Astyanax mexicanus: one gene and its partner. The protein of the gene in region 1 purifies or fractionates together with the protein of each later gene. This does not show direct contact. Links are inferred from orthologs where the notes say so. Each region holds a gene or a part of one and is shown in the gene's direction. Other genes may lie near its edges. The genes, in order: sost and lrp5.

Region 1 (16,859 bases):
CAAATAGTCTGCTAAAGATTAAGCACACTGCTGTACTCATAGCCAAGCTGTCGGCCTAGCAAACACATTCGCTACAAAAATCACACCCAATGAAATAGTTCTTCACGTCCCGCAAACGCCATTCAGGCTCAAAGAGCCATGTGATCACAGGCATCCAGTCATACATGCTATGAATTAAAGTTTTCTCCTCAACGTAAACATCGGAGCATGGACCACATTGCAGCCAGACTTCAGCACCTTCAGCAAGCCAAGCCCTTTAACAGTCCGGTTTTCAGAGCAGTAGCTTATGTTACTATGAACTATTAAGACAACATGGTCTTTAATCTGTTTTGGTTTGATTTGAGTTTGAGCAAATTTTGACTTTCAGCAGTCATAAATAAAAGGATAGGGCAGTGGTGCAGCAGGTAGTGTGTGCTGGACAGTTCCAGGGGACCGGGGTTTGTGGGTCCTGTCCTTGCTTAGGTCACTGTCTATGAGAAGTTTTGTGTCTTCTCATTCTGTCTGCATAGATCTCCAGTTTCCTTCCACCTCCACCTTTGGAAGGTGAATTAACCTAATTGAATAGCCTTTACACTGCCAACAGCAAAGGTTCTACAAACATTTCTTTTAGCAATAACAGAAAAAAACACTTTTTATGGCTTCATCAAGAACTACTTTTGACATATTAGAAATGTATGAGTGTGAGCTAGAGATTTAAATGGCATTGTCTTCATGTAATGATTCTTCACATTCACGCATCTCTATTACAAGAATGGTTCTTTATAAAACCAAAAGCAAACCTTTGTATCACCTTTATTTTTAAGAATGTAGATGTGAATAGATGCAATGGACTGGTGCCCAATGATTCCAGACCTCAGAAAGAAGCAAACAAGAACATGCAGGAATTAGATAGGAGGTGCTTCAAATTGTTCTTTTAATTGTTGCCATAGAAGAACATTATAAGATCTTTCAATGGTTCTTTACATTCGCATACACATCCCTGCTAAAGAATCAAGCTCAAGACCAGCTGCTCCAGAAAAAGCATACCCTCATTAACTAGCTCTTGATTTTTTATTAGGGTATCTCGATTGCAAATATGATTTTTATGGAACCAAAAGTACCTCTTCTATAGCGTTGCTCATAGAACCATTTGAAAGACCTTTATTTTTAAAAGTGTAAATTAGATGGGGATTTAATGAAGCAGATTTAATTGCATGTAACTAACGTGTGAGGTATTGATGATTGATGATTAATGATTAGTTCTGGAGCACAAAGGTATTGAATGGTTCAGCCCAGTTTGCTGATTTCTCTGCTCTAACAGACCTATTAAACCTATTTGAGCAGGAAAAGCAAAGGCTGCTCCTAATTGCAAGCTATACACCAATACTTTAAAGTATATAGTATATATTAATCAAATATTGTTCCAGCTGTCAGAAGCTCATCCCTTTTAGATGTACCTACCAGGTCTTGAGAATATAGTGTTGATATTTGGGTATACTCAACTTTAAAAAAAACTGCTCAGCCCTTCAGGACCAGAAATGCCCATTGCTACCTCATATGTACCTGCTGGGGATGCTTTTTTATGGAGATTACTTAAGCTGTGCATGTGCAACTGATGCATAAAAAGTTAAACAACAACGTCATCAAATTGAATACGATGGAAGTGCTGAGGTCCAAGCTCAGCACTGAAGGATAGTAATTGATGCTGACCTTAATACCAAAACAAACCATGAAGATACATTTGTAGTGTCTATACACAAATTCGATCTGTTCACTTGTAAAAAAAAGAATGTGGACTGTTCTGTCAACAGATCTGATTTGAGAAACAATTCAGATTTTCCTGAAGTGTGCTTGGATACATGTAGTGTATATGTGCGATGAATACCTAATGGAAATTTGCTGGCCCATGCTAAGAAATAATCATCTCAGAAAATGTTATAAAAAATCTATAACACTGCACTGTATATGTGTTTTTTCAATGTGCAAATTCATAAATGATCATTTATTTAAGATAACTGACATTCCAGTATACAGAATACATTATTAATACAATATTTTCTGGTTGACGAGGTTACAACACACAGCACCAACCCATAGACCTTAATTCTATTTGCTGAGTTGAGTTAAAGTCCAGCTGAGCACGATATTCAGACGCCACTGACCCACATGCCATTCCTATTGTCGCTCCAGTGCGCTGCTAATAAAACTGGTGTAGTACACTGAGAACTTCATTTACAGACCATATGGACGCTATATCTCTGACAGCACCTCCATCCTGGCCCAGTTGCTGCACTGCATACACACCAGCATCTTCTTTCCTTCATCAGCAGAGGTTATACAAACATAGCGTGCATAATTTATGGCCCGAGTGTAACACAGTCTTATAAAGCAAAGGTCTTTCCATTTAATGAATAACATTGACGAAGAACATCAAATGGTAAACATAGGTCACGGCGAAGAGCTGACAATGCCAAACCAATTACGGGGGGAATTTCGAGGCATGGGAAACGTTGCTCTGTAATATCTCACTAGAAATTTCTGGACTCAGATTGGTATAGAACAAGTGATCTGGACTGTAACAAAGTCAAGCTGAAACCAAAGATTCTGATGAATACTCGAGCAATGTTGCAAGGTTCTTGGGACAAGCTCACAACATGTTTCGTTTTGCGAAAAACCACAAGAAATCCATGTCTTTTACCCCAAATCCCACAGGAGATCATATGGTGACAGGCTATTATGTCACCTCATCTTTTAGAGAATGCATGAGGCTCCCTGCGAGCAAGCAGGCACCGTGTGAGAGTCTTGTTAAAAAAAAGAATAAAAAATACACACACATAAAACCTGTCGGAGGAGCTGCACATTTGGAGGCAATAATTTGCTGGCTAATTAGTTGAGCTGCTAAGAATAGCACCTGCAGCAGGAATGTCAGTTTAAGCTGGGTACAGAGAGGGCAAGAGCAGGGTGGTTAACACATGGACCCAGCGGTCTGTGAGGTTTACTAAACCACAGCTGAGGTTTCCACTGTTTCTAAACTCAAATGAGCTGCTTTAAGCACAAGGCACATGCACAGTGGAGCTGGTGAAGTGTACAGTGTACAGGGTACTAGAACGTTTGCTTTTAAGTGGATGCTACACTGTCAAAAAGAATAGTAACTGTAATAATATACAATAATATAAATAAGTACATTTTAAAGTGTGCATACTGTATATTTATTCACAGTGCCTATAAAACAATATGCTCACATACTAAGAAAGGTGTACCTCTCCAACCTTTCTTTCTCCAAGTGCAGTGCAGCTAGCGTTAGCTATGTACCTAACATAGCATTTTCATAGAAACTTCCACGTTGAAGTTCAATAATACACTTTACCTGAATAAACTGAAGAAAATGAAAACTTTCACTGCCACTTTTCACACTTGGTATCAGTTACTACATCTTCACAGACACAGATTCAATCTGTATCACTCGAAATATATATGTGCTGAAAAAGCTTTGTTAGCAAGCTGAGGTAACCGAAAACTAGCATGTCTGTTAAGCCTTAAGACTGGCTGCCTTTTCCTGTATGTTTTCAGCTGCATATTATCTAAATTGCTATAGCTTTTTATGTCGTTATGCAGCAGATAAAGATGTCTTTCTGTCTGCATGATGAGTTGGTAATAATAGAAAATGTACCAGTAGCAAAGACGGATTCTTGTTTAAACAGCTGAAAAAGAAACCTTCTCTAAAATGACTGAACTGTTCACTGAATTTTGACCATGATGCTTTGCAGATCTACAGTAACATGCCCTATGCAGGCTCTACAGTAAAAAAAAAGTAGTTCATTATACAGTATTAATGCTGTGAAAACTATAGAAGTGTGATTTCAGAGTTTCACCTTGCAGTTTTAAAAATGATGAGTAGACGCATTACGAGTTAATAAGTGTTCAGTGAGTCCAGATGTGTTGTTTTCAGTTTGGAAATCAGAAGGCCTCACAGTGGGAAAGCATGCAACTTCAGATAACCTTTAAATCTCCGACAGATTTTAATATGTTTGGGCTCAGCCACAAAGTGCTCGTAACATGCTAAAAGCCAAACACATGACTGAGCTAGAGTGAAGCTGTTCTCTCATATTTAACCCAACGTACCCTGGACGAAATATAATACATTACTTAATCTTGTGGAACGATGAAGTCTTGCAGATGTACGGTGTCTAATCAGATTTGTGGGTTTGTATGTACATACTTGAAAAATCAGCCTCTGGATTTTTTGGAACAAAAAAGAAAATGAAGCAAAACATTCCAGGAAATAATATGCCGTATTCATCTCACTTATTTTGCACACAAAAATAGGTTAATAGTCTGGACATTTTACATTTACTTTCTGAAAACTTAGAGATAATATTTAAGAACGGTCATTCCCTACATAAATAAACATGTAGGAGGAATAATAGGCCATATTACACACATTCCAATATTTTTATTACTGAAAATGAGTTTTAAGTTCATTAAGTGACCCAGAATATAACTTTTAATTCTAGTCATTGGGCTGTATTTTTGACACTTTTGTGCTGTGCTGAAGCATGAGTAGACTGATAAATGTGTCTATGGACCAGGTTTTTAATCTGTTATTTTACTAAGCTTTACTAAAGCATGAGTCGACTGATAAATCCCTGTGATAATCAGTTATTTAAATATATGTATATATATATATATATATATATATATATATATATATATATATATATACATATATATTCATAAGATGTTTCTGATTAAAACCTATATACTTTAAGCATTGTCACACTTAATATTTAAAATATAAAAAAAATGAAAAATGAACTCTTCTCTAGGGAAATAGTGTTAAAAAAGGCATATACTAGGAAATAATGTCTATAAAGGTGGCCCTGCATTTATCAAAGGATGTCACACTTTTGCTGAGTACAGGCAGCAGTCATGCTTGGGGGATTGTGGAAGCAGCAATTAACTAAAACTGGTCTCAAATGCATTTAGGATAGACCAGCAAATGCTAGAAACATATATTGTGGTCAGACAAATCAGTACTCCAAATCTTTTTGAAGGAAGTTGATGCTTTGAGCTCTGGACCAAAAATGAAAAGATCATACAGACTTTTATCAGGAACAGGTCCAATAAGGCATCATAAGGCATTGTGGCAGTACACAACTGTCATGGTAGCAATAATTAAGTACTAATAAAGTACACTGATGTCTTCGATTGTTTAGTTATATGCTGCCTTTAAGACAACATCGTTTCCTGGTACGTCCATGCATTTTTCAACAAAACAATGCAAAACCATAAACTGCACGCATTACTAAGGCATGTGGATTATGAAAGGCGCAGGGTTAAAGGTACTGGACTGGCCTGCCTGCAGTCCTGACCTGTCCTCAATACAGAATGTTTGCTGAATTTTGACAAATTAAATGAATTTGACTGGATAAAACATAAAATATTTTGTGTTTTACTTTTTTTTTGCTTTTATTGTAATAAATTAAAATTCCTGAATGTGTCATAGTGTCAAACTTTGTGTAATGTAAATGTCAAATTAAATAAAGTGAAAAATATATCCTATAGCATACAGCTGTCATCTCCTAGAAAAATAATCTAAACCTGGTAAAAATCAATTCTCTGCAGTGAGGAACTAAGCGTATTATTCTGCAGAAATGAAACCTTGTATTTTTTAGCAGAATGTAAATTCCCCACACGAGAGGAAAGACGCAGCAGGACTGAAAAACATCTTTGCAAGAATAACACATCTGCCAGAACTTGACCCAGTATCATCTTATCACAACGTTTCTTCAGCACTGTGTGGCCAGAAAGTCTGTTAGTAGTCCATCCATCTGAAGGCCTCTCACCGTCAGTCCTGCGGAGTTAAAGACTTTGTTTATGCGACTTCAACATTGTGTTACTTCTTTCCTATAAAAATATCCTTTACTGGCGGCCGGAGTGAAATCTGGGCCACATCTGAGGGTTATTTATCTTTAAGCTGCTATCATGACAGAACATGGCTCCGTCCTGCATTTCGGTACACAAACCCAAGGAGGTATAAAAAGAGTCCGTCAATGACAGAGAGCGAGCGCAGGGTGCAATCAGCGAGGAACCGCGGTGGACAGTGGGATCCTTCCCTTCTGTTGTGCTGACAAGAGTGACAGATGAGGAGTCACAAACACTCGGTTCTTCCCTTTCATTCCCGCAGTGTGGCAGAGGCTTCAGTTCCATATATGATCAGACAATGCGACGATCAGACGAGAGACGACAGCACAAAAATGTCTGCTTTTAAACTTAGATGCCGGGCCATTATCAGAATGCTCAGAACTTTCCACAAAATGACTTGAGATTTTAAATTATTTTATCATATTTATATAATGACATATTATCTGATTTCTAACTTTTGACTACACAGATATCATATTTTCTAAGGTTAATCACTTTTTATTTAAAAAAATGTATGTCCATCCTGTCATGGCAAGCTGTATGAGGGGGTGGACAATTTTAGCGAAGACAATTTTAGCAACGCGTTTGATGAAAACATGTTTGGCCTCGAGTCCCAGAAATTGTACATTGTTCTTGATTATCTTTTCCTCTTTCAAAGATTCATTTTGATTTCTTTCTAAAAACATTTTAAATATTTTTTTAAGATTTTACCATAAGGGGATTAAGATCTTAAAATCTCAGATAAGTTCAGAAAAAATATGAGAAATATTAGGTAAAATAAATAATATTAATTGTTGAACAGCAAGTGTCTTCAGTCAGTCTACAGTGTGAAGGTTTTCTACAGTGTGAAGGTTGTGATTTCACTGATGTCAGTGGTTATTTTATCTAACGGTTGGTTATTCCAAGACAATAGTGTGGACATGAAGTAAAAAAAAATTAGAAACTTTAAATAGATATATTTTTATCCATTTTGTAACCATTCAAATGAACCATGCAGCACTGCAGATATGGCAAACACAGCTCCACCCCTCACCTCAAAAAAGTTGTTTAAAATGAACAAAAAAGAACATTACAGTGAAGATCAACATTCCTTAATATTTATAATAATGTGTTAATGTGTTGACAAATAAACTGTTACACACCGTATGTTATATTTATATTGACCCCACCCACAAATGGCATTTTTAGGTACACTCCACCCTTTTCTGCTAAGCCATTAGAAAGCACACTTATATATTACTACCCACAATCATTTCCACAATAAAAAAGTTTTTTTTTTTTTTTTTTTTTTTTACCAGAGTAGGTCAGGTGTTGCTGCAAGCCATGGTGGAGTGGATTCCTGCACCCGTTTTAAATAATCTGTATGTTTGCGTTCCCTCAAGAGGGCAGCATTTGTACAAATGAGTCAGTGTCATACTGGTTTGAGCTTATTATGTCACATCTATAGCTCAGTATGCTTGAGCGTCAGTTTCTAACCACACAGGCTGTAGATCTGACAGATAAGCTGGTTCTCTTACTGGTTACTGCATAGTAAGTTGGGGTAATTATATACTGATATAATTGGGGTACTTATATACTATATACAAAGGCTGCTTTAAACATTTTTTTTATACAGACTGATGAAGCGGAGTGTTGTTTAAAACTGTTCTCCAGTTAGTTTTCCCTTTATTTCCCTTTATGACTTCACAAAGAAACCTTTCATTCTAAAGATGGTAACTTTGCAGGGAAAAATTGGTTTAACAAAAAATCTGAAAGAATAATGCACATGCTGTGAACATATGTGTAAAGTACAAACAAGTATATTCTGTCTCTTTATTACAGATATGGATGTTATTTACAGTCATTATTATAAACGAAAAGCTGTAAAACCTGGAATCTGTGCTCTGATTTTGGACGTTTTTTAAAATATAAAATTTTTATGTTTTATGTTTAATTTTAACTGAATGTTTTTTTTCTGTTTTTGTTTTGTTTTGTTTTCTGTTATGTCCTCTATTCATGGGCCATTCTAGAACTGTTGGTAGTATTAAAAATGTACTCACCAGTCCACTCTGTTATTGTTAAACTGTTCCTAGAAATTGAAGGGGAGATTGATTCAATATCAAAATAAAAATATCTGACCAATAATTAATATACCATAGGTGAATCCTCAACATGTAATATACATAACATTACATAATGAGATTAGAAGTTTGACATATTTCACTGCCTTCCACATTTTTCCACCAGAGGATGTGACATCACTGATTGTGTGTGTGTGTGTTTTTTTTTTATTGGAGCTCCTTGAAGATTTGTTGCAAAGAAGATATTTTTATATTAGAAATAACAACTTTTTACAGGCATCTTGTGTTAAAGACATCTATTTGTTTAATTACTAAAATAACAACTTGCACAGAAAAAAAGGTATTTACAAATATTTGTTATTGGCATTAATAGAGTAAGCACAAAAATGAAAATTAGATACGACATATAAACAAGATATTAATTCATATAAAAGCTAATTAAAAGTTAAATGTATAAATCAGGATGATAAGACAATAATGTGAGGAGAGGACTCGTTTAATTGAATGAATTTTGCATAATATAAACACCAAACATTATTTAAAAATGGAGAATTCATGTAATTAGCTTTATTATTCCAAAATGTTTCAATGCATATTGTTTTTGAAAAATGGCAAAAGCTTTATCTGGGAGACACAAAATGTAGCTGCTGTTCTAGAATGTACATATTGATCTATATTTGAATATATTGATCTATGTCACTGTTGTGCACAAAATATACATATACAAATATATTTATAATATACAAAAATAGACAAATATAAAAAAAAGATTTAATTCAATTATATTTTGCAGCATTTCTATTGGTCCATTCCTCAGGATATTTAAACACAGTATCATCAATAACAGCGGCCGTATTCACATATACTCTAATCTATAATAATCTATACAAATCAAAACCAGCAGATAATATGTACTTTCTGTTTTGAATTCATAAACAAATTAACAATTTGACTAAATTCAAACCTGAACATTTGCCCAGCTCCATTTTACACTGTAAACATCTTATGTAGGCCTGAGTTTTTCTTGTGCGGTTTTTTATGCGTATGTATGTGTAGGTCCCCACAAGGTGGTAAATACCTCAGGCATCTCTAGGTGACGCGCACATGCATATGTTCACTCACACGTATTCCTGTTTTCCTGTCTTTGCAGGGAACTGATTTTGAAATGTGTATTAGCTTCGTCAGGGCTGCCGTACTGCACCTAAACTAGCCTCACCCTTAATTCTAGCACAAAAACATGTATTATAATTTATTTATACGTGTATTTATAACAACATTATTCTGAGGACACAATTATAGTCCCCACAAATAGCTGAATGCATGCCCAGACACGCACATATACACACATTTTCACACACAGTCTTCCCTCCTCCCCATCACTTTGTGAATGGGCTGCTCCTCCTCCCTCTCCGGCTGAGCGCTTTAATTGTCGCGGCTCTTCGCGGAGGTACTTAAGGAGGACGCGCTGCTGCCGGATGGGAGAGATTAGTGAAGCTGGCCCTGAGAGAAACCCTGAGAGGAGCCCTGCCTGAGTGAAGCTGAAGAAATGCACGTGTCTGTATCCGTGTTGCTCGTGCACTCGTGGCCGCTGCTGCTGCTGCTGCAGGTTTGGCTGAGTGGAGCTGGGGCATGGGGAGCCCTGAAGAACGATGCCACAGAGCTCCTGGAGGAGTACACCGAGGATACCCCACATCCAGAGCAGCAGAGGCAGCCCCTCAACAGCAGCAACACCAACACCAACAACATGAACCAGGCGAAGAACGGGGGCAGGAGGTCGTCAGCTAACAGCCCCACTTACGGCAAGTAACCTATTTCTGACCAAATCATCTTTTATAGTTACCTGTTTACTCAAACCCCTCAAAACAGCTTCATTTACACACATTTAAAAGCCTCTGAAGAGAATTAGACATCTAGCAGTCATAGCTGTCTAGCTCTTCTGACGTTTAAATAGCTGATATACACATGCTAATTACTGCAGATTTGATTAATTAGTTCAGTGAGAAGGCTTGAATAATCGATTAATTGCTTTAAAGGCTAAAGTCAACCCTTTTTTAATATTAAGCTTTACTTACAAAAAACTTCTCACATAGGATTGGCCTTTTATTCTACTTAAAGTAATTCAGGTTATTCTGAATCAAAAAGTTTTAGCAGTAAAAACGAAGGCCTCCTCTGTAGGGACCAAACCTTGAAATCTTATTTTTTTACATAAATAATAATAATTATATATATATATATATATATATATATATATATATATATATATATATATATATATATATATATATATATATATTTTACCAATTTCTCCAGTTTATAATGTCAGAACATTTCATTGTAAATAGTCCAAAATGAAATTTTGACATTACCTTACAATAAAACTTACAGTCAAACTTACAACTTACTGAACAGGAATTAAGCTTAGTCATTAAATTGGAAATTTTCAATTGATAGGAAAATACGAGTAGACTTATTACTTAATCCCTGTCTGGGAAATGAACCTTACAAATTTCCCCCTTATTTCCTTTAAAATGAATTTCAGAGAACGAATGTGTAAATTTCATATTTTCTTTCCTTTAAAGTCCTTTAAAAAGTGGTTTAAACCATTTTTTCTAAGATTCTTTATATTTAACAGAGAATGTGCACCATGTCTGTGTGAAATGTGTGGTTTGGGTTAAGGCTCATTGATGGCGATCCTCTGGTTTAGGCTGCCCAAAGGCCCCCGAGGGTGATAAAACCTGGGTCAGGCATAGCTTCTCTGTAGCAAAGGACAAACATGCGTGAAACTGAAAGCTGGGAGATCGTTTTACAGAGATAAACGAGATAACTGAAGCGAGTGTGTTTTTTTTTAACAGTTTACATCCTATTAAATTTGTAGTAATAACTACACTTTTGTAGTTTTTAGAACATTTTCTCAGTATTCTTTCCATACATTAATAGAGTGTATCGTATCAGATATTTTAATACACCGTTGCATCTTTCTGAGTCCTCCTGCAGGATATGAAAGTGCGAGAGGAATCAGCACTTGTGTGTTTCAGGCAGGTGATGTACTGATAACTCAGTGTTTTCCTGCCATTTCCGCACTTTTATACAATTAGTCAAGGTCTACATAACTATCTAATTGCATCAGCATGTTCTCAAGTAGAAGAGCATGTCAGAGTCTGTGGGGAAATTTCTTGAGGGTATTTGAAAATTGTTATTTAAATGCAACACTGTTTTAGCGAATGACTCCCACCTGTGGTTACTAAGCTCTGCTGAAAACTCAACCGTTCGCTGAGTTTTCACCTGAATTATGGCCGTCATTGTTGTCAGCACCCTTCTGATCATTTAATGCTTCAGTTTGGGAATACTTCAGTAGCTGGAGTGTTCAAATTAAGCCCAAATTGGTGCTTTTTAAACAGAATTACAGAAAAAAGTGACTGAAGTAACAGATCCACAAGAACTGAATCCATAAAGACAGAGCCTGTTATACTTCAGTTATATAATGAAGATAATGGAATTAAGGCAACAGGCATGTATCATAAGCTAATCTGTAAAGGACCGTCACACACCCTGCATCCCCAAGTGGGGTTTGTGTTCAGTCTCTAGTGGACAGTTTGGGGTTATGCTGGATGTGCTGACCTCGCTCTGGCCGGCATCCAGTCCCTTCCCACTCTCACAGCGAGGGGAGCGCTACGACTGGGCCTTCATAAAACAGATCAGGTTCTGTAGAAAGGCAGGGAGAGAAAACCTGAACTCATCACACACACATAAATCCTTTGTTGTTGTGTGTGAGCAGAGCTGCAGAAGGAAACAGATCCCTCCACAGTATCACTGCTTTTGCTGACACCTCCAACGCTTTCTGCTGTAATTCAGCGAGGAGCCACTGCGAAATGAGTAACAGCTTGTGGATGTAGGCCTGGAGCTGACGTGATAAAGTTTGAGCAGGGCTGAGTTTTATGTTTAAACCAAGAAAAAATAGCAGGTGTTGAAAAATAAATCTCATTCACTTCACACTTCCCACTGAGGTGCCAGCAATCCCACTCCAAATGATGATAAAGGTTTCTTCAGCAACATAAATAAAGGTTTTTAAATGGTTCTTGGCTTTAGGAAAAATGTTATAGAATAAGGATGACTGGATTTTTTGTCTCTAAAGATGCTAGCCAGTGCAGTCGTCTATTAGCCCACGTAAAAGAATTGGAATTTAGTGTTCAGCTATCCAATGACGGATTGTGTTGTATTAAAATTCAAAAAGTGATATAAAAAGTTCATAAAGTGATATTTATACTATTTTAATATTACTTAATAAACTTAAATTAAGTTGGTTAGAGGTTCTGATTTTTTCGCTTTTTTTTTATTTATTAATTGCCCAACCCTAATTGGAGGAAGCACACACTAGCCTTCACTGCACAGGTAGCATGTAAAAGGATGTGCCTAGTGGGCGGCAATTACAAATCATTAAACTGTGAAGACAGATTATGAAATATCTAGAAAATTGGAGAGCCCACATATCAACAGCCCCATACCAGTGTTTAATAAGTAAATGTAAATGTAGCCCAAAACAAAGTGTACAATTTGTTCCTGGTCTTATTTGTTTCTTTTGTGTTCCTTGTGTGTTCAGGAGCCTCAGAGCTGAGCTGTCGTGAACTGCGCTCCACCCGCTACATCACCGACGGCTCCTGCCGCAGTGCCAAGCCAGTGAAGGAGCTGGTGTGTTCGGGCCAGTGTCTGCCTGCTCACCTAATGCCCAACTCCATCCTCCGGAGCAAGTGGTGGCGCAGCAACGCATCTGACTACCGCTGCATTCCGGCCCATTCCCGCACCCAGCGCGTCCAGCTGCAGTGCCCAAGCGGCCAGAACAGGACCTACAAAATCCGAGTGGTGACCTCTTGCAAGTGCAAACGCTACACCCGGCACCACAATCTGTCGGACGCCAAGGAACCTTCCCAAAAAACACGGCGCAACAAGAAGCACACACGTGTCCAGCAGACACGAGGCCGGAGCAGAGAGCCGACTATCAGCAGCAACTCCTACTGAAGAAGAGAAGGAGGAGGTTTTCTTTGTATACATGCACTCTCACTCTCACACATACTCACAAACATTACTGCATACTGCCCAAACGCCAGTGCTCAAGTTCGAGGGAAAGAAAGTTGAAGATATCTATTAAAAAAGGATTATTTTTATGGAGTTAAATGCCATTTTCAGCAGCGGCTGAAGCTATCTTACATTCATTTTTCACGTCTCCAGCGTGTTTAAAAAAAACGCCTCACCGTTTGCCTGACCCTTTCACAATGAATAATTCCAAAGAAAACAGATGTTTGATTACCAAATTCCTGAGGACTTTATCGGACTTTTGCTTGAAAGGAGGTACGCTGTTGTGGGAGATTACTCTAGAAAACCCGGTAGTTGGCGTAGTTCCTGTGGAGGGCCTCTCTGACCCAATCCAACAATCAGTTCACTTTCCTGAAGTTCATTAAAAGGTTAGCTGAGATGAACATTGACACTGAAGTTAACCGCCATAAGCATGACCGAATCCACCACCAGCAGTGCTCCGAACTTGTGGCCGAGGTGAATGTTTGCATAACTGAAATGAAGTCATCACATTTGGGGCATGGTGTAGCTGCGTACGGTCCAGCTGCCCAGGGCTGCCGGACCCAAGGGATGACTGGCCGATGACACGTTGCTGAGATCCAGCATTTCCAACCCTGGAGCTCCTTTGACAGGCTGGGAATATTAAGCCAGCCACCAGAATTCCCACAGCCTTTACCTTTCCAGAAGTAGCCTTATAGGAGCTGTCAGCTGAAGCCAGCCCACTGTCAGTGATGGAGAGTGGGAACAGTTATGTCAGCACTCCATGATCATGACTCCCCTAGGGCCCAGAGCACTAATTCCACTGACCCAACTTGTCCCAATTACTAAAGAGTCCCATTCCTGTGTTTAGGACTTGGGCCATAAAAAGCCATTTCCTCTAGACGTGGTCAGTTCCTGTTTGTCTGAATAGCAGAAAAAGGGGCCCACATGTGTGTAGGAATCTGGAACAATTGGGCCTGTTCATACCTAAAAGACTTTTCTGGAAACCATTGTAGTTTTATTGGTCAGTTGCAGTAACAGGGTGGTTGGTGTTATCGATGATCTAAGTCCGATAATAATGAGCCTTAAATGGAAGCACTGTACAGAATGTAAAATTGTGTAAAGTTGTGCTTGTACATCTTAGCTAAAAGTCATGTAAAAGTCATGTTTGCCTCGCCATTATGAAATGTTTCACTTATATATATATATCACAGCGTGTACAGTATATAAGCAAAGAAGGTATTTAGTGGAAGGTGTCTGATACTAAAATCAAATGTGGTTGAGGAATGGCTGCTCTGCAAACCCGCCCTCTTTCCATAACTTCCTTCAGTAAAAATGTGAAACGTGAAAAGTGGCATGCATGTAGAGACTGGACTCGCCAAAAACAAGAAACCATTCCCTAAACATCCTTCTGCCTTTTTTTTCACAACCCTGCTTAAGCTATGAGACTAGACAAAATGAAATACTGAATTGAAGTGAATGTGGGTGTATGTTGATATTATGCCGGATGTACAGTAGAACCAGTCTGGAACCAAGTCTTTTTTTATTTGTCTCGATATCCAGCGCGCCTGCCTCCAGTCCATGACTGAATGAAAAATATTTTGCTTACTTCCACACATTGTTCAACACCACCGTTTTCTCCCCATTATGTTTTCTCCCCATCTCTGCTTTCTAAACAGTACTGACTGTGTTTGCTTCTTTTTCAATTGTGTGTTTGAATTAGAAACTGGAAGGGATTTCTTTTTTCATGTTTTCACGTTTTTATCATGTAAGCAGAATCACCATGTATAGCCTGACTGTATATACTGAACCTGCTTGGTCTCATGAAGCGTAAAGCCCTCCAAATGACTGAACTGCTCAATGGAGGGACCCACGCCCTCTCCGGCTTGGAGAGGGACTCGTACAAAGAACGAACTGCATATTTATTTTTTAATGTCAACATTTAAATTATTTATGCAACCTTTTTTGTAGAAAATAGCCATTATTGTACTATATGAAATAATAGTGAATTTCCTAACAAAAAGAGAATAAAGTAAAGCAAAGTATATGAGAAAGACGTGTATGTGTCTTTGTCTGTGTCTGTGTATTTGTTATCTTTCTGACTCTTTTCACGAGTGCTTCTCTGGCTGCCCCTGCACGCTAAGCCCTGTCTCTCAGCGAAGCCTCAATAAACAATGCGCTGCAATTGGGAAGTGGCTGCTTTGTTGCGCTTTGGAATGTCTAGCGAGATGCCTACAAAAGGCGAGAAAAAAAGAATTTGCACAAAAGAACTGGCATGTCAGACATGAGCAGTTCAGTCCCGGCAGCAGCACGGGGAACTCGGCCTGTACACCGCCATTCAGCCGTTTGTTTGACAGGCTTTAGGTATTACTCACGAGCCCGGCTTTAAAGCGTAAAGAAGAGTACGACTGTCAGCCTTTTCTTACTCCACTTAATCTTGATGGCCTCTGTGTTTGTCATGTCTGTTACACACTCGAGTGCTGCGTGTAAGCTGCTTGTGGAGGAACTCCCAACGCGCGGCTAACTAGCTCCAGCCTGTGCAGTGCACAAAACTCAATGAGGTGTTTATGCTGTAAATCATACAAATTAGCATTTTCCAAACTTTCACGTAATGTATGGCAGGCCTTTGTGGAAAATAGGGGCTAATCAAACACAGAGGAGGAACCCAAAATTTAGGGGGGAAAAGAAAGAACGACCTTCCAGACTGAATGGCTTTCTTTTCCTGAGCCAATATTCAACAATAGTTACCTAATCTCCCGGGTTCATCTATTACAGTCATTTTCAATATCACAATCAAGCCGTATCCAGAGTCACTTTACATGCCATGCTTTCACTCAAACGCAGCTGGCAGGCATAGACATTTCCCAAGTAATTTAAGAACAAGTGTTGGAGAGCGACACATGAGTACTACCTAAAGAAATTGATGCTGACAAAGCATCTGCCCTGAGTTACGGCGGCCATACGCACACTCGTTACTCTGCACTGACCTGGCACAGTGTTCCACAGCCACGGGGAAGTCAAGGGTGGATGGGCAGACATGAGACTGGCTGTTGTGAGTCGGTTTAACACTTCAGTGGCTGCATGCTGTCTCATACTCAGCAGCTCTGAACAGGCCTCCAGCACCAGGAGTGAATAGAACAGAATAAGTGCTGCACTTTAAGCCGGGCTGTTACCATAAACGTGTAACTGTATAAGTATAATAATTTATATAATTCATGATGATAAGGCATTCAATATAAATGTACTGGAAACAAAAACAATGAATAAAAATGATTAATAATTATAAAAAATATATAATAAATGATTATGTGATTTTAAATAGGTGATGTCAACAGGTGCTTGTAATCATGACTGACACAGACTGTTAGATGTGTATTAATAATTGAATCTTAATTATTTCTGATTTGAGGTTTTCAATTACGTTTGATATTATTTTGTGTTACTACACAAAATAATATCAAACGTAATTGAAAACCTCAAATCAGAAATAATTAAGATTTAATCATTTCTAACCTAAATATTGCCTAATACCTAATATATAACCTAATATTGTCTTTATAGAATGTGTTACAGCCCTGAAATGCAGTTTGCCTGACAAAACATGAAATATCTCTGTAAAAGCAGGGGTTTCTTGGGTGAGCTGGATGAGTTGAAGTGAGTTGGGTGATATTTACACTTCTCATATGGTCGATGTCCCATGAAAAACATGTATCTTCAAAACAGCAACTTCACAAGAAAGAAAAAAAAACATTTTTAACTTTCAATAGAAATAAAGAAAATGGAAAATTTCTATTGGTCTATTCATCAAGATATTTTAACAGAGTGCAAGATTTTGTGTGTTCAAATTAA
Region 2 (16,602 bases), on another chromosome or scaffold:
GCTAATAACCATAAAGGGAAAGCATTACTGTTGTTCTTTCCTAGAAAACAACAGACATTAAAATGTCTTTTTTTTTTACATTTTTGTACTTGACTGTGCAATGTGTGCCTTTTTTGGCAACAAATATACAAGTGTTTGAGGAATATTTACTCTATACTGTAGAGCTATAGAGTAGCAAAAAATAGTTTTCATTCAGTAAATAAATGAAATTGGGAAACGTTATTATCCTTGGTCACATATGTGCGAAATTAAAATCCAAGTAATAAATACTAAGACCTGAACCAGCTGTGGTTGGCCTATCATAGCCTTTTATGTCAGTAATCTATTCATTCAAAAATGTGTATCCGTTTTAGTGGTTTTAGTTGTTGCAGAAGTCTGAATAAAGAATGATTAGATAAAGAATAATTATGATTAGTATAAAAATAAATACATACATACACATAAGAATAAATATCTTAATACTTTGTTATTTATGGGTTTCTTTATTAACCTTGTTTAATTTTTCTTTTGATTCATTTATTTATTTACATAATTATTTATTTTCTGCATTTATTCATTTCCCAATTTATTTATTTCTGTTTTTCCTTGTCCTTATATAATAATGAAGAGGCATGTTTTTCACATACAGGATTAGCAATCAAGCCCAGAGAGAGAGCAGCTGATATGAGTAGAAAAGTCCAGAAGCTGAAATTTCGGGGTGAAGTTCGGTATCGGACCTGCTGCTCACAGCTGCTCGCCTCAAAGAAATGGATCAGAGTCTGTATCATGAGCTAAGTGATCTTTTTTAAAAAATCTTCCACGTTACCAAAGTTACCACCAGAGGGGCAAGACATGTACAATCGATCTAGGGTATCTGACATCGATCAACCAATAGGAATGCTAAAACACTGTGATGTCATTGACCCTTCATTATCATATAAGGACAAGGAAAAACAGAAATAAATAAACTGGAAAATAAATGAATGCAGAAATAAATAGTTATGTAAATAAATAAACAAATATATTAAAAATGTAACAAAATTAAACAATGTTAATAAAGAAACCCATAAATAACTATTTATTTTGGTATTTATTTTTAGGTGTATATATTTTTTTATATTATTTATAATCATTCTTTACTGTTTTAATCATCATATTACTTTTATTAAATGATTTACATATTATTACATATTTTTTTTATTAATTTAATCATTTATAGTTTTGGTCCTCCATAGTAGGGAACACAGAAAACATGGAAAAAGGTGCTGTGGTTACATCAGACCAAAGTTGAAGATTCACCTTCCAGCAAGACAATGACCCTAAATATACAGCCAGAGCTATAGTGGAATGATTTAGATCAAATACATGTGGGAATGTCCCAGTCAAAGTCCTAATCTAAATACCATTGAGCTTTTGTGGCAAGACATAAATATTGCTGTTCACAGACGCTCTCCATCCAACCTGGCTGAGCTTAAGTTATTTTAAAGGAAGAATGGGCAAAAATCTCTAGAAGTCTCGAGATGCTCAAAGCTGGTAGAGACATACCCCAAAAGACTTTTGAATACTTTTGCACTTTGATTAATTTTATTTGATTTAAATGTTGAAAACCATGTTGGTGTTAAGGTGATAAAATGTGATTTTAAAATGTGAATTTAAAGGGATATGAATACTTTTGCAAGCCACTGTATTTTGCAAACATATTAAACTGCTTATAGGGTTCGATTTCAAAGATACATTTTGATTTTCTAAAAATATTTTAATTACTTAGATTTTTTTTGTCATGGCAGGGTGGACAGCTTAGGTTGTGGAGCATGGAGAAAATAAAAGAAATATTAAGTAAAATGAAAATTTATTCATATTAATTGCTAAACATATAGCAAGTGTCTTCACTTCCTTGACAATAAAACAGTACAAAGTTGTAATATCACTGATGAGATCAAAGGTTACTTTTCCTGAAGGGGCAGTTCTTAGACACATTTATATAGCTTGATATTTTTATGACAATAGATCAATGACTAATTGAAATGCCTAAATGATTTGAAAAAGCATCCTGCAGACAAAAGGATATTTTGACGTTACATTGATATTGACCCCCCTAAACAATATTAGGCTGGTGTCTGGAATGTTATAGTTGATTAGTACATTTTTTGTGAGTTAGGTTCAAGATATAAACAGCATGCATGCTAAAAAGAATGCTAAAAGCGTCTGGCATTCCTCTCTGAGTCAATAAGCTTCATCCTGCCACGTTTTCCCATGGAGCCAAAGCATTTTATTAAAGGAGCGTATCAATCAGGCTTTGGTGTAAACAAGATGGTACACATAAACAGACCACATCTGTAGCTCAATAATTGCTCCCTGGAAATATGTGATGCACATGCAGTGTCTGCTTGCAGGAGAAACGCTCAGCAAGTTTAATTGGTGGAGATGAAAGAAAAAAAGTGTTTTTTTTCTCCCCTGAAAACAAAGGCCTCCTTGATGAGGGCGTCCATCCGACACCTTTACGACAGCCTCATCAGGGAGAGCCTTGTGTTCAGGAGGAAAAAAATGAGGTTCAGACAAATATGTTTTTTATTAAAGCAAATCTGGGTGCAGCTTTAAGACTGGTGTGAACTTTAGCAACGTTAGCTGCGTTAGCACTGTAGACAGGAATGCGTCCACAGAGTAACGTTTTGCAACTCGTGGGCTGAATTCATGACCTCAAAGTGCTTTGCTATATTCCTCAAACAGCTTTTGCTTCATTTTTCATGTGGCGTTTGGCCTTTAGTTGCACAATCACTCAAATGCTTTCTCAGTGCCAGACAAAATAAACTGAGTGAATGCTGAAAAAACACATCTCCTGGGTGATGATGGTGGCGCTGTTTCAATTTCGAAACTAGAATCAAAACCAATTGCTGTCTATCAGCCAAGACTTAGCTTAATATACAGTATCTCACAAAATTCAGTTTACCCCTCACATTTTTGTAAATTCTTTATTATAATTTTTCATGGGACAACACTGAAGATATGACACATACAGTGTCAAGTAGCCAGTGCATATCCTGTATAAGAGTGTAAATTTGGTGTGCCCTCAAAATAGCTCAACACACAGTCACCTCAGAGTGAAAATGACTAAACTGTGCCCAAAGTGTTAATATTTTGTGTAGCCTCCATTATTTTCCAGCACTGTGTGAAGTTTACTAGAGTTTCACAGCTTGCTACTGCAATCATCTTCCACTCATTCATGACTACATCACACAGCTGGTGGGTGTTAGAGATCTTGCACTCCTCCACCTTCTGTTTGAGGATGCCTCATAGAAGCTCAATAAGGTTTAGGTCTGGAGACATGCTTGGCCAGTCCAGCACCTTTCCCCTTCTTACCTTTTCTTTAACAAGGCAGTAGTTATGTTGGAGGTGTGTTTGGGGTTGGTATTGTATTGTATTGTTGGAATACTGCTCTGCGGCCCAGTTGCTCTGCTTTAGTATGGCAAAGTACAAGTTCGCTAGGGTAGTGAACTGTAGTTCCCCACAGCCGGCGGCACTCATGCAGCCCCAAACCATCCGTGCAGGCACGCAACAGTTTAAGATGTTATGTTGATGTTTTTTTTTTTGTAATCTGAAATCATGACCAACATTCAAACTAAAATTAACGTCTATTGACGTTGGTGGCCAGCTGGGATGACAATCCACCACCTTGCTGCCACCGTTCTGTGGCACAGTGTCAGGGTCATCTTTGTGTAGAGCAATAATCCTTTTTTTTAAATCCTCAGAGAGTTATTTGCCATGAGTTGCCATGTTGAACTTCCAGTGACCAGTATGATAGAGTGTGAGATAACTCTCTTTTAAATGCACACATAGCATTCCTTTTTTGTGTAGAAAACCATTACTAATACAATAGGACTCTCTGGAGCAGATGAACATGAACCTATTGGCACTTTACCCAATGCCATGTTTGATCTAACGGGACCCTACAGCGTTGAGATATAGAGCAGTGGAACTGTGTTCTCTGAAATAATGGTGCTCTATACCATACCTATGGCATGAGTTGGGGAGTTGGCAGTGAAGTGAGGTACGGATCATCCATCCAACATTCTGACCTCATTAATGCTTTTGTCACTGAATGCAATCTGAACCTCACAGCAAATGCTCCAAAATGTAGCAGAAAGTTTTCCCTGTAAAGTAGAGACTGTTACGCTAACAAAAGTAGGATAAAATATTTTTAATATTCTTGTTTACAGTTGAATGTTCATAGAAGAGTCCAGTGTATGATGCGTGTGTATATGAGGTAAAGGGGGGTTGTTGTTTTTGCTGAAGTATCTCTTTAATATTTTATCTTCTGTTATAGAAAACAATAGCATTCCTGTTTTCTGGCCGTCTGAAGCAGCAGGAAATCAGGGCCTTTTGGGTTATGTGACTGTAATATTAAAGTGATGTATTGTGGGTAGTGGTAGGTGGTTGAAAGGGTGTTAGCGTTGAGCTTGCTGACGTTCTGCTGCAGGAGGCCGTGTGTTTTAGAGAACCTGTTCCACATGGCCTTCATTACCTCACAAACTATGTCTTATATTCAGTCTTGGCAGCGATTTGGCCGGCAAGCTCCAGCTCTGAGGCGTATAAAACACAAACTGAGGGAGAGGGAGAGAGAGAGAGTTTTATTTGTGGACAGGGCCTGGTGGATCAAAGCAAGCGCCGCAGGCCTCTCTGCACAGGTGACCGTAAAGACAGGTTTCATTATGGCATTTTTCTCTGGGCTCTGAATCACTGCCCACTCCTCTCACACGCACCTCTCTTTACCTCCCTCCCTCTCTCTCTATTTCTCACCCTGTTAAACCCAATCACTTTCTTTCTCTTTTTCTTTCACCCTGTCTCTCTCTCTTTCCCTGTTTGACCTCTTGCACTCTTTCTTTCTCTCTCTCTGACTGTTTTAACAACAAGGGTGGCAAATGTTTAACCATCTTAACCAGCAGATATGTTTAATTGACATAAATAACGGTCATTAAAAAAGTCTTAGTAAAAAAATATACTATTATCACTAATATTACTACTAGATGTGATAGTAGAAGTAGTAGTAGTGATTGGCGATAAGTCAGACCAAGGATTTGTTGCCGAAAGACATTCCTCGGAAACCCTTGCTGTGTGTGGGTGAGCATTATCCTGCTGAAAAATAGCAGTTAGAAGCCCTGCTATGAGAGACAACACCAGTCTGCAGGATGTCCTACACATATCTCTGAGTTGTTAGTGTCCTTCATATCACTACTAGGGGTGACCGCTTGTTGTATGAATTGGCTCCCCAGATCATCCAACCAGCAGCCGGGGCAGAGTGATGCTCCACAGCAAAAGCAGGATTAAAGTGTCACTACAAGGCTTTCATACTTAAAGCCCCCATCGTCAGATCCCATACAGAACCTGTTTTCAGCATTAAAGATCATACAATTCTAGTCCACAGCACTCCAAGTGTCCTGTTTACCTCATCACTGGAAGTCACAGAGAGAAATAAGACTTAAAGATTCTTCTTTAAAGGGATATTTCACTTACCCAAATCATTGGACCCAGGTTTCAATCGCTTCCATGGCCACAGGTGTATAAAACCAAGCAGCTAGGTATGCAGAAAGCTTCTACAAACATTAGTGAAATAATGGGTCTCTCAGGAGCTCAGTAAGCTCCAGTGTTATACCCTGATAGCAACAAGTCCAGTCATGAAATGTCCTCACTACCAAATATTCCACAGCCAACTGTCAGTGATATTATAACACAGTGGAAGCGACTGGATATGAAAGCAACTATCTCTGTTAGTGTGCAGCATAGTGTGCAGAGGTCACCAACTTCCTGCAGAATCAATCACTGCAGACCTTCAAACTTAATGTGGTCTTCACATTAGCTAAAGAACAGCAGAGCATTAGGAGCTTCATGGAATGGGTTTCCATGACCGAGCAACTCCATGTAAGCCTTTTACCAAAGACTGCATTGCGCAGGTGATTGGATACTTAGTAAATGTAGAAGAACTAAATTATTTAACATTTTTGTACTTAAGTATTGCATGTAGTTTATTGTATAATGTAGTACTGGAGTACTGCAAGTAAAAGAACAGTACCGTGTTATATGTTAAGCAGTTGAAAGTTCTCAGTGAAAGGAGAAACAGGAGCAACAAGGTCTTCTTTTAAGATCTGCTTGATTTACACAATGATGAGAAGCTTTGTCAAACCTGGAGACAGTGCAGAGGATCTACTTATCTGGCTTTAGTGATAATGTGGGTTTGAAACATTTTTAACTTTTTTAGAATGGTAACGAGCATTAATGCAGCACATAAAAAGGTATACAGTACAGATGCAGCAATTTAGTACTTAAGTATTGTATTGAATTAGTTCTAGAATAGTAAAACCCTCTAGCATTGAGCTGTGAAGCAGTGTAACTTGTCTCTGGATTTTTTGGAAAATTATGGATGAGGTGGAGTAAACAATAGAGGCAGTTACTCTAACAAAAGCAGGATAAACTAAAAAAAGAAGTAGAAACAACAAATAAGCAGGTGTCCTAATACTTTCTGCCATTATAGTGTTTTTGATTTTTATGTTGCATGTTTGTCTGTATGGACTTTCAACGTAGTGAATATTTCATAAGCGGACCTTATTACATATATTTTATACTCCTGGCCTAGATGGCAGACAGTGTGTCAAAATGACCATCCTGCTTTTCTCATTTTAATGATACAGTTCAAAAACATGCATCATAAAGGCATGCCTACCAGTCACTGATCTCTCACAAAGAGGTACACTACCCAAAAGCAGCCTCTGAGAGCCAAAAAGGCTTAAAAAAAAGCCTAAGAGCAGGAGGAAGAACCACTGAGAGAAACTGAGACTTAAAAGAGAAACCAGTCATGGTCTTATTCACTTAGTCTATTTATTGCTATTGCTTAGTATTTAAGACTAATTCTGTCTGCCCTGTGTTGTACCACATTCTACAGCCCGTTATCATAACAAGCTGAAAAAATAGAACTTCATCGCCAAGAAAAGCGATGGCAACAAAGGAGTAAATGGTTTATCATTACAACTTTTTTTAAGAATGTGTGGGAATTTGAACAGTTCAATTCAATTTAACACAGTTTTGTATAATTAATACATTTAACTGTGTTCAAACCAAGTCTTCCTGGCAAAAATGGGGATTTTTAGATGCTTCCTCTAATTGCAGCATCCTGTGTCATCACTAAATGAACTTCTCTGTTTCAAATATATTTTTATTATATCTTCCTTATGCTTGAAAGTTCCAGTTCCTCTTTGCAATGGAAGAAGGGTCTATTAATGGCTCTGAAACACTCCTTTGCTGCATTCTAAATAAGAACTACACACTAATACTGTAAAATGTATATACTAGTAACAATAACAATAACAAGTTCTCCAGGTGAATTTTTACAGCATTTGCATTGTTATCTGCCAGTGTAATTTTATAGTACTGTTTTAGACATAAGTAGCTTCTCCCTATTCGTTTTGCATTGCATTATGGGATATTTGCACTCAAAAACAGACCAGTTCCACTTTTATCTGTACTACACATTTCACAATCAAAGACTGATAACATACTGATTAATACACAAATGGGATATACTGAGAGTAAACGCAGCATGAATGATCATAGTTAAACTGCTCTGGGTTGATTGGTGGGCAGTCAACCATTAATCTGTTCATGGATGTAATCTCATAGCTACAATGTGTAAATTTTTAGACTCAAAGATCTGCACTACACTTCTTACAAAAAAAAGCAAGGACATTTTATTTTTTCCATTTTTTACTAGTAAGAGGCCTTGGAGCCTTGGAAATCTGAGACTGAAAGCTTATCAGAGAAAAGAAATCCTTGTAAAGAAAGTTGTTCTGCTGTCTAAACCAAGTCAATCAATTTATAACTTTAAACTGAACTTTAACCCCCTTAATCTGGCTCAGACCTGCAAAAGGTAGACACACACACACACACACACACGCACGCACACAAATGCACACAAGTCCTCCATGTTTCCCAACCCGTTTCCTGGCAGTCTCTTCTCTGTTGGAGAGAACCACATCCAAAATGTCTCTTCCCAATAACAACATCTCCTTCAATACCTTCAGATACCCTGTTACCTCAGATCAGATTCAGATTAATTTCAGCTCAAAATTACACTTCACTCAGTTTTTGTTTCAAATTAAATTTCGCTTCGATTCAGATCAGCGTAGATCAGATTCAAATTTGACTCGATTTAGATTAAAGTCAACCCAGATTAGATTTAAATTCAGTTTAGATAATAATTATGATAATAATAATAATAACAACATAATAATACAAAAATATTTAAACACTCTTAGCAAGAATAGCTACTAATATTTGTTTTATAACAACCGTGGAAACCATTTGATGCTTGATAAAAATATCTTAACATCTTAAACATATCAATATTTGATTTAGATTTTTTTTCAGATGAAACCTTTTTAATGTTTTTAAAATATCTTTATCTTAATCAAACATTATCAGTTTATATTGAATTACGCAGCTATTTGCATGTTGCTCTGGGTTTAATCCGCTTTAAATGGTTGTATCTAGAGTTGTATTTTTCACGCCGGAGTTGTGGCGGCTTTTTATTTCCCGCCCGTATTCAGGAAAGTCCCGTCTCCTCCGTGCCTTGATTGGCTCACTTGGAGCTCGCAGTTCTTGCTCATGCGCAGAGACACCTCCCGTTGTAGAAGGACGAGGCTGCGCGCGAGGGCTCTGGCAAGTGTGAACTCCGAGCGCCAATTACATTGCAGGGGGCGGGGCCTCTCCCCAAAACAGGTGCAAAAAGAAAAATCAGTACGATCCCAGGCGCTGACGTCAGAACCCGTTTCCGCTGTCATTCCCTGTAGGAGCCACACAGAGAGCGCGGTCCTGTGTTTCTCTCGGACGGAATAAAAGTACTTTCGCGGTTCCAAGGCGGACTAAAAAGTTGCTTTTGGACTTTTCTGACCCGCCAGCCACCCGAAACATGGATTTGAAGCCGCGCAGCTGAAGCGAGGACGGCCCGAGATGGAGCTTTTATTCGCGCAGCTGCTGCTGCTGAGCTGCGGTGTGACGGTGCTGTGCGGTGAGTGAAGGACTTTTGTTCACATTTTGTGCTGAAAATCGCTGCTAAAAGTCCCGCAACTCGGATTAAAGCCGTGTAAACAGCGTACAAGTCCGTATAACACGCATCTAAATACTAACACATGGAGGAACCGGTTTCTAATTCGGTTTAAAACTGGTTTAAACTGTGATTGTGTACTTAGTGGACACTTTCTGGGAGGCGGATTTGCTGAAAATGCACTGAGAAAATGGAGCTGCAGGAGTTGTAAAAGTGATCAGAAACCGAATTAAATGTTATAAAACACGATATTGGTGTAAACGACCCTATTTGGGAACAGATGAAAAAAATGTAAGGTATAGTTAGATGGTAATCCTGAAGTTAAATTGAGCATTTTTATACTCTATAGTTTGTCACCATAAAAAGAAGTACAAACGTCTTTAAACACAGTTATAATGATTTTTAAAAATCGTATAAACCTGCATATACAGTTAAAAACAAAGTTGTTATAGAGAAAACACAATTAATAGAATAACTAAGCTATTTGCTCTATTCATGAGTGCCAAAACAATCACTTTTGATTCAGTTCAGCTCAAATTTAATTCAGGTTCTGATTCAGATTAGAGTTACATCAGTTTTAGTTAAGATTTAGCTCAGATTTGTCCATTTGAGTTGGATTAACATAGATTGGCTCAGATTTGGTTCAAAGTTCATGTAGATTTGCCTCAACATAGGATTTATTTACATTAGGACTTAAATCAGGTTTATCACGGGTTTTATTTTAAATTCTGTTCATTTTTTTTAGATTCAGCTCAGCCTAGCCCAGATTCAACTTTAACTTTAAATGCAGCTTAAAATATTAAATACAGCTTAAGATCAGCTGGATATCCAGAAAAAAAAACCTACACTGTGTAAACTAATCTCTTTAATTCAGATTTTAATATTAAATGTGGTACCAAAATTTAAATACTTCTACAGCACATACACTTCACACACATTCAAGCTGAATTCACTAAGACCAAAAAATGTGGGAAAATAAACATTTCCCAAGTGCCCTGCTGCATGTTTAAACTGGGTTCGGTTACTTTTAGGGTGGATTGAAGCCTTGCTGCTCCACAGCTGCTGTGGAATGTGTAAGTGTGTAAAAACGTGTACATGTGTAAACTAAAGTTTTATTCAGATTTAGGGGTAGTGTTTACTGTTTTACCTCAGATTTACTCTCTTATTCTGAAGTATGGACACAAGGTGTTTGGTTACTTTAGTGATAATGAGGCTGAAGGGTTGACTGCCTGGCCTTGGTGTCGAATAGCAGACTCAGAAGTGCACACAGATATAAAAAGGGGGAGAGTAGTATTTTGTGTGTAAATAAACAATTACACACTATCAAAAATAGTTTCTTTTTAAAATAGGTTAAATATCAGTTATCTGATATTTTAAATTGGATAAATCTGGACATATTACATTTGATCTCAGAGAGTGAAGTGTGTTCAGTGCTGTTCAAACATCTGATTTCATTTAATGAAAAACAGATTAGATAAACTGAATATTAGATGGGAACTGGGAATACTAGACACCTTTCAGGAGAGCAGTACAGAAATAACAACAAACAGCTTTATAGATTATTTTCTCAGGTTGTTAGGATTTTACTGTGATTTAATGACCCAAGGTGTATTTATTCATCAACTTCCTTACTATTTTTCCAGTAATAATATTTGTGTTGATTTATTATCCAAAAACAGAATACATTTTTGCACCAATCTCTTTATCCCGTACCGTGACCCACGCTATTACTTTTAGACTGATATGTAAATTACCTATGTTCTGACTGGCTGCCTAATTTAAAAGGCACTCTGAGCTGAAACACTCCTTATAATGTGAGTGCGTGTGGGCGGAGCTGAACTGATGTAGACTGAATAGGCAGATATACAATGATGGAATGCATTGTGTTTTTTGTGATCTCTCCAAAACAGTTTGTACAGAAGGACTGGGGTATAAATGGTATGCCAAAAAGGGTTCTTGACTGAAGCAAAATGTGTTGTTAGTATTCTTTGTGTTGATGGAAGATGATTAATATAGAAATATTTAAGAAATGGTTTAATGGAAAGCACCAAAAAAGGACAACAAATATTTTTGCAGTGCTATATTGAAGCTTTTTGTCTAGAGTGTGGTTTTAAGCCATTTTAGTTAAGTCTTCTATTTAAAAAGCACTCTGTGGTTTTCTGTCATATGGGCTCTTTAATCAGAACTGATTTGTTGAGTATCGGGAGTGAGATGGCTGGACTCATTGAGATACAGGACTGTGCAAAATGTTAGTCCCCTGTGAAAATCTAAATGAGACCCCCTTTTTTGGGTAGTTTGTGATCATTTTTTTGTTAGTCTTTTAGTCTTTTTGGCTTTATTTTTTTGTTTTGTTTTATGATGTGCAGAAAAAGATCACATCATACATCACTGTTCATTAAAACATCTCTAAAGTTCTTTTCATGGGAGTCTAGTAGTAGTTTGATTTGTCCCCAACACCTGGTTTGGTAAATCAGTGATTATTGATGTTAAACCAGGTGAGCTGGTGGTGGAATTGAAGACATCTACTGGGGCGTTGGCTGCGGGTGTCCAGTAGAAATCTGGACCTGAGCTTTGTTCTTTAGCTTTCTCACAGGAACTTCAAAATGAGAAATTCTTGTTACTTTTTTACTTTTTACTTTTAAATTATATGATTAGATTTTGGGCCCTGTCATTGTGGTAGGTTAACATGTTGCACTTAAGCCTGTGAACAATTTCATAACTAAAAGAAAATTAAATGCTTACGGTTGCAGTGTAAGGATAGAGCATGCAATACTTGCACACTAAGCAACAAGAGTCTGTATTGTGCTGAAAAAGAGAACAGTACTGAACCCAGACCCAATACTGGTGCTGTAGAACCATTTTAAATTTTTAAATGGGGGGGGGGGGGGGGTCTTTAGGGGTTCTATGGTGAAGGATATTTTTACACTGAAAGTCCAATCCAAGGTGGATGTTTTTTGTACTAGGGCTTGATATGAACCGTATGAAAGCCACAACCAGTGACATGTTTCGTCTTGCCTTGACCTTGCCAGTAGATCAAGACCGGCAGTGTCTGAGGCCGAGACCAGATTAAGTTATTTTTTATCATATAAATAGAAAATGCAGAAAAATAAATAATCTGTTAATAATGGTGTAAAATTGCTGTTAAAATACACTGTCATCCATAGCACAGTGATTTCTGTTGAGTTTTTGCTTCACATTTTTCAATTTTTCAAACAGGACTTTTTGCATTCTCTATAATGAACTGTTGTGTCAGTGTTACAGTGCTATATTCTTTTTTTTGTCATCAGCTACAGGGGTGGAGTCTCTCTATACTTCATATGAATTGGTTTGTAAAATGTTAGTTATGAGTTTGGTGAGTTGCTTTGTCAGGTGTTGTGATGAATTGTAGCTTTCTGTCAGAATCTCTCTTCACGAACATGATTCTCCTCAGATTCCTTTTCATAAATTTGAAAAAGTTTATAAATAAGGTTTAATCTACTGTTACAGTAAATGAATTAATTCCCAGTATAAGCATTTGTGTTCATACTGCTGTGTGATGTGCCTGCTCACCAGGGAGAGTCAGATTTCAGCACAACAATTATTTTTTCTTCTGCTTTGTTTAGGGACTAATTCAACTTACTGTAATTGCTCTGAAAGTCCATCTAGAACCATTAAAAAAAGTGTTTTACACTGCAGACAAACTGGACCATGATTTAGTAGATTCTTTCAATCAGCCTCTTTTGGTTGGTTCAGACTCTGGTCCTTTGGTTCAGACCGTGGTTCACGCCCCCTTTAACAAATGCCACTTTAGTTCAGACCCAAACTGAAAAGTTAGAAATTTCAGACCAAACAAGGGAGGTGTGAAATCCCCCTTAATTGCGCAGATAAAAGAACTTTGCCAGGTCTTATCGTCATCACATTTTTCCAGAATTTCCCTATGTTTGACACTAGAGTGATTTGTAGAATGTTATCAATTCTGTGAGTTGCCTTTATGTGTGTTGTACCAAATCCAACTGCCTGGCAAAATCTCCTTTCGAGTCATGCATGTCACAGTAGAATAAGAGCAAAGTTCTTTAAACACAAGAAAAACTTAATGTCGATACTTTTACAGAATGGGTTCATACAGGCCTGTCACAATAATTACACTATCGACTTATCTTACAATAAATGACCGGAATAATATTTGATAATCATAATATTGTCTATTATGTTTATTTGTATGTTTGTTCACATATTTAATTAGTTCACAAAATTATTTAGTTAAAATTGTTGTATTTAAAAAGGTATAATTGCTATGTTTTGCAATTCTATATTCATTATATAAATTGCATGTAATGGTCTGAAAATAATTTAAATTTCATTTATCACAATAATCTCAATGATGTATCATTCACGGAAGATTGTTATTGTGACAGTCCTAGTTCCGTATAGTACTGAAAACAATGGCTCCTCTATTGCAGTGCTTTGTAAACACCTACAGTATAGTCAGTTAATAATCTGTCACAGACTGACAGAGTATTTTAACCTGGGATACTCAATAGTGTTGGAAACGTATCCATATCCATATCCATATCCATATCCATATCGGCACATAATTGCATTGGACAGATGATATATTTGATTAGTCTATATAGTAAGGTGTTTTGGTAGACCTGCTTTTCTGAAACCACGTGTATTAAATTGTAGTCTACCCTGCTTTTGTTGGAGTAACCATCTTCATATCCAGGCATGGCTTTCTCCTTGATTTTGGAGCATGGCTGTGGGGATTTGTTTGCATTCAGTATAGATTATTGAGGCCAGGATGCTGGATGGGATCACTACCCCACCTCAGCCCCTACTTTCCAAATAATCCCAAAAGTATTCCGTCCTGTTGGCAGTAATTCTCTACATGTGCATGTGTGTGTGCGCGCATGTGTGTGTGTGCGCGCATGTGTGTGTGTGCGCGCATGTGTGTGTGTGCGCGCATGTGTGTGTGTGCGCGCATGTGTGTGTGTGCGCGCATGTGTGTGTGTGCGCGCATGTGTGTGTGCGCGCATGTGTGTGTGCGCGCATGTGTGTGTGCGCGCTTGTGTGTGTGTGTGTGTAGTTGCATGTTTGTGTCAGCAATAGGTGCAATGTGAAATAGCTGAATACATTCATTAAAAGGGGTTGTCCACAAACGTTTGGTCAAGTATATGTATAGTGTATATATAGAACAAGTGTATTTTTAGGAAGCTCTGTTTTAAGTGGTTTGGTTAAGTGGTTCTTTACAGTGCTCTGATTGATCACTGACCTTAGATTCAGTCCATCACTCAAAACATGTTTGGTATCTGGCATCTGCTTCTTAAGTATACAATGGGAAAGGCTAGGCTAATGTTGCTAATAAACACTAGATATAGTGTTTATATTAGAGAACATGCACAAAACTTTCTTATTTTTTTAAACTAAAACCATGTTGAAAAGATAAACAAATAGGATTGTAGTAAAGCTGTAATTACTTTACTTTACTTTACTTTTTTTTTTAGCAGAACTGCTTAATTGAACTAAGCATTGGTTTTTATTATATGCAAATTTTGAGTGATTTTTTTGTGTGAAAGGAAATTACTTTCGGTGCCAATGGTCTTTATACTGCAGATGGAGATTTATTAATGCTGAAATGTCCTTTTAAGTGTCACAAATGCATAGTACTCAAATCCAGGATGAGTTCTCATGTGTATAATGATGTGAACAATGGAGGCAAGATTAATTATATGATAAATATCAACCAAATCTGCAGATTTTTGGTGCATTTTATTTTCTGAGTAGTTTCTTGTATGATGTGAATTTTAAGTAGGTTTTACTTTGTTTTAATATAAGGTGTAACCTAGTTGTCTTTTTAAACAAACATTGATTTTCAAATCTCAGTCAGTCATACAGATTTCTCCTTTATAACATTTAGAGAATTCGACCGTGTCTCTCTGCAGCACGTCTCATCTTCAATCTTCCAAAAGGAGTCATGTGACTCCTTTGCTGCGTTCCCTCCACTAGATTCCTTTAGTCGCCAGCATCAGTTTTAAAACCTTGACGCTGGCCTACAAAGCCATAATCGGACCTAAAACTAGATCTGTACCGGTGGAATTCATACACCCTGACTCTGTCCTGGAACGAACTTTCACTGGGTGTCAGGATCTCCTTCCATCCCCAACTAAAGACTCATCTTTTTAAAGAATTCCTCAACTAAAAATTTGTGTCTAAACATTGTCAAAGCTTGATGTGTCTTTCTGATTCTAGTCTCTATGAATTAGCTGTGGATATTTCCAAAGTAAACAAAGAAACGTCTGCTAAATACCTTTAATGTAAATATGAATACCTTAAATTATTTGTTTGATCAGAAGTTTTTGTACAACTAAATATTCCCCAATGGTGGAACAAACTACCTTCCATTACCAGAGCAGGAGGGCCCCTGACTACCTTTAAGAAACTCCCGAAGACAGAGCTCTTCAAAGAGCACTTACTCTCCTAACACCTCTAACAAACTAACCTCATTTCCTGCTCCGCCTCCTTTCCTTTTATATCCCACTATTTCCTCTTGGCCTTATTTAGACCTTGTCAAAAAATGTTTTTGCCTTGAACTTCTGTGTCCTCTGTTGCATCACATCATTATTTGTACGATCTCCTTAGATGTTTACTCTGCTTAATGAATGCCAATAATTTGATTCTTCTAAAACAGACCACAGGTGTCTTTCCTCATGGTTGTTTAACAAATGAGAAGCTACTCACTGCATCAGTTAGGGTTAAATAACTTGTTGCCAGCTGAAATATAATCACCCATGCAGTAATTATTCAATTTGAGGTTTGTATTTACTTGCTTAGTTATATCAGAGTTTGCAGTGGTCAGTGTTGGTCACAGTTCCATTTGTGCCCCAGGCAGACTCACAATTCTGTTTGGTATTGGTACAACAGGAGGAATATTTTTTATCATTATTAAGTTGAAGTGTACAGAGATTTTATTTAAAGAGAATTTCTTTCAGGTTATTTAGTATGAAATGTTCAGTGTACTAATCAAATCTTTTGTAAAAAAATCTTATTTGCATTTTGTTTTTTGTTTCTATTTTTGGAAAGTGTAGAAGAGTGTTTGTCTGTTTTTTTTTTTCTTCCTTTTTTGGTTATGTATCTGAGGTTTTGCTTTGTTCAGAGGTGTGAACTCAGCGTGGTTAATTCTTAATCTAATGACGACCTGGGAACAAAAGTCCAATATGGTAATTCATGGAGATGTGTTGACTGCCTGCTGTGTATTCTGAAGCCTTTTCACTCTCTTTCTGCCTCTGTACTAAAGGAATAGCTGCTTGCTCGCTATTGCTGAGAGGCTTGGATTCTGAAGCACCATTAGGCTGAACTGAAACATTAATATTGTTGGATTATTGTTGATAGATTTTTAAGATGTTTGCGTTAATTATTTGTTTTAAAAAAAAAGTATTATGGAACAGGTCAGATCAACAGTGAAACAGCTCTTATTTGTTGATGGTGTTTGTGCAGGAAACGAAGACGTGCTGTACTTTGTTCTGTAAAACTCATAAAGGTTCAGATACACAGAATAG

What was found.
Region 2: the proteins of sost (region 1) and lrp5 purify together in Homo sapiens (affinity purification with mass spectrometry; 3 studies listed by BioGRID and IntAct, counting the BioPlex papers as one, with this or other methods). This does not show direct contact. The link is inferred for Astyanax mexicanus from reciprocal best matches to the Homo sapiens genes SOST and LRP5.

What each region holds. Positions count from the first base shown.
Region 1 is NC_064422.1:28,978,819-28,995,677, forward strand, and holds sost (sclerostin), read left to right. Parts: upstream 1-9,400; 5' UTR 9,401-9,510; coding exon 9,511-9,763; intron 9,764-12,561; coding exon 12,562-12,977; 3' UTR 12,978-15,064; downstream 15,065-16,859. UniProt on the Homo sapiens protein: Negative regulator of bone growth that acts through inhibition of Wnt signaling and bone formation.
Region 2 is NC_064417.1:10,259,392-10,275,993, forward strand, and holds the start of lrp5 (low-density lipoprotein receptor-related protein 5), read left to right. Parts: upstream 1-8,780; 5' UTR 8,781-8,973; coding exon 8,974-9,031; intron 9,032-16,602. UniProt on the Homo sapiens protein: Acts as a coreceptor with members of the frizzled family of seven-transmembrane spanning receptors to transduce signal by Wnt proteins.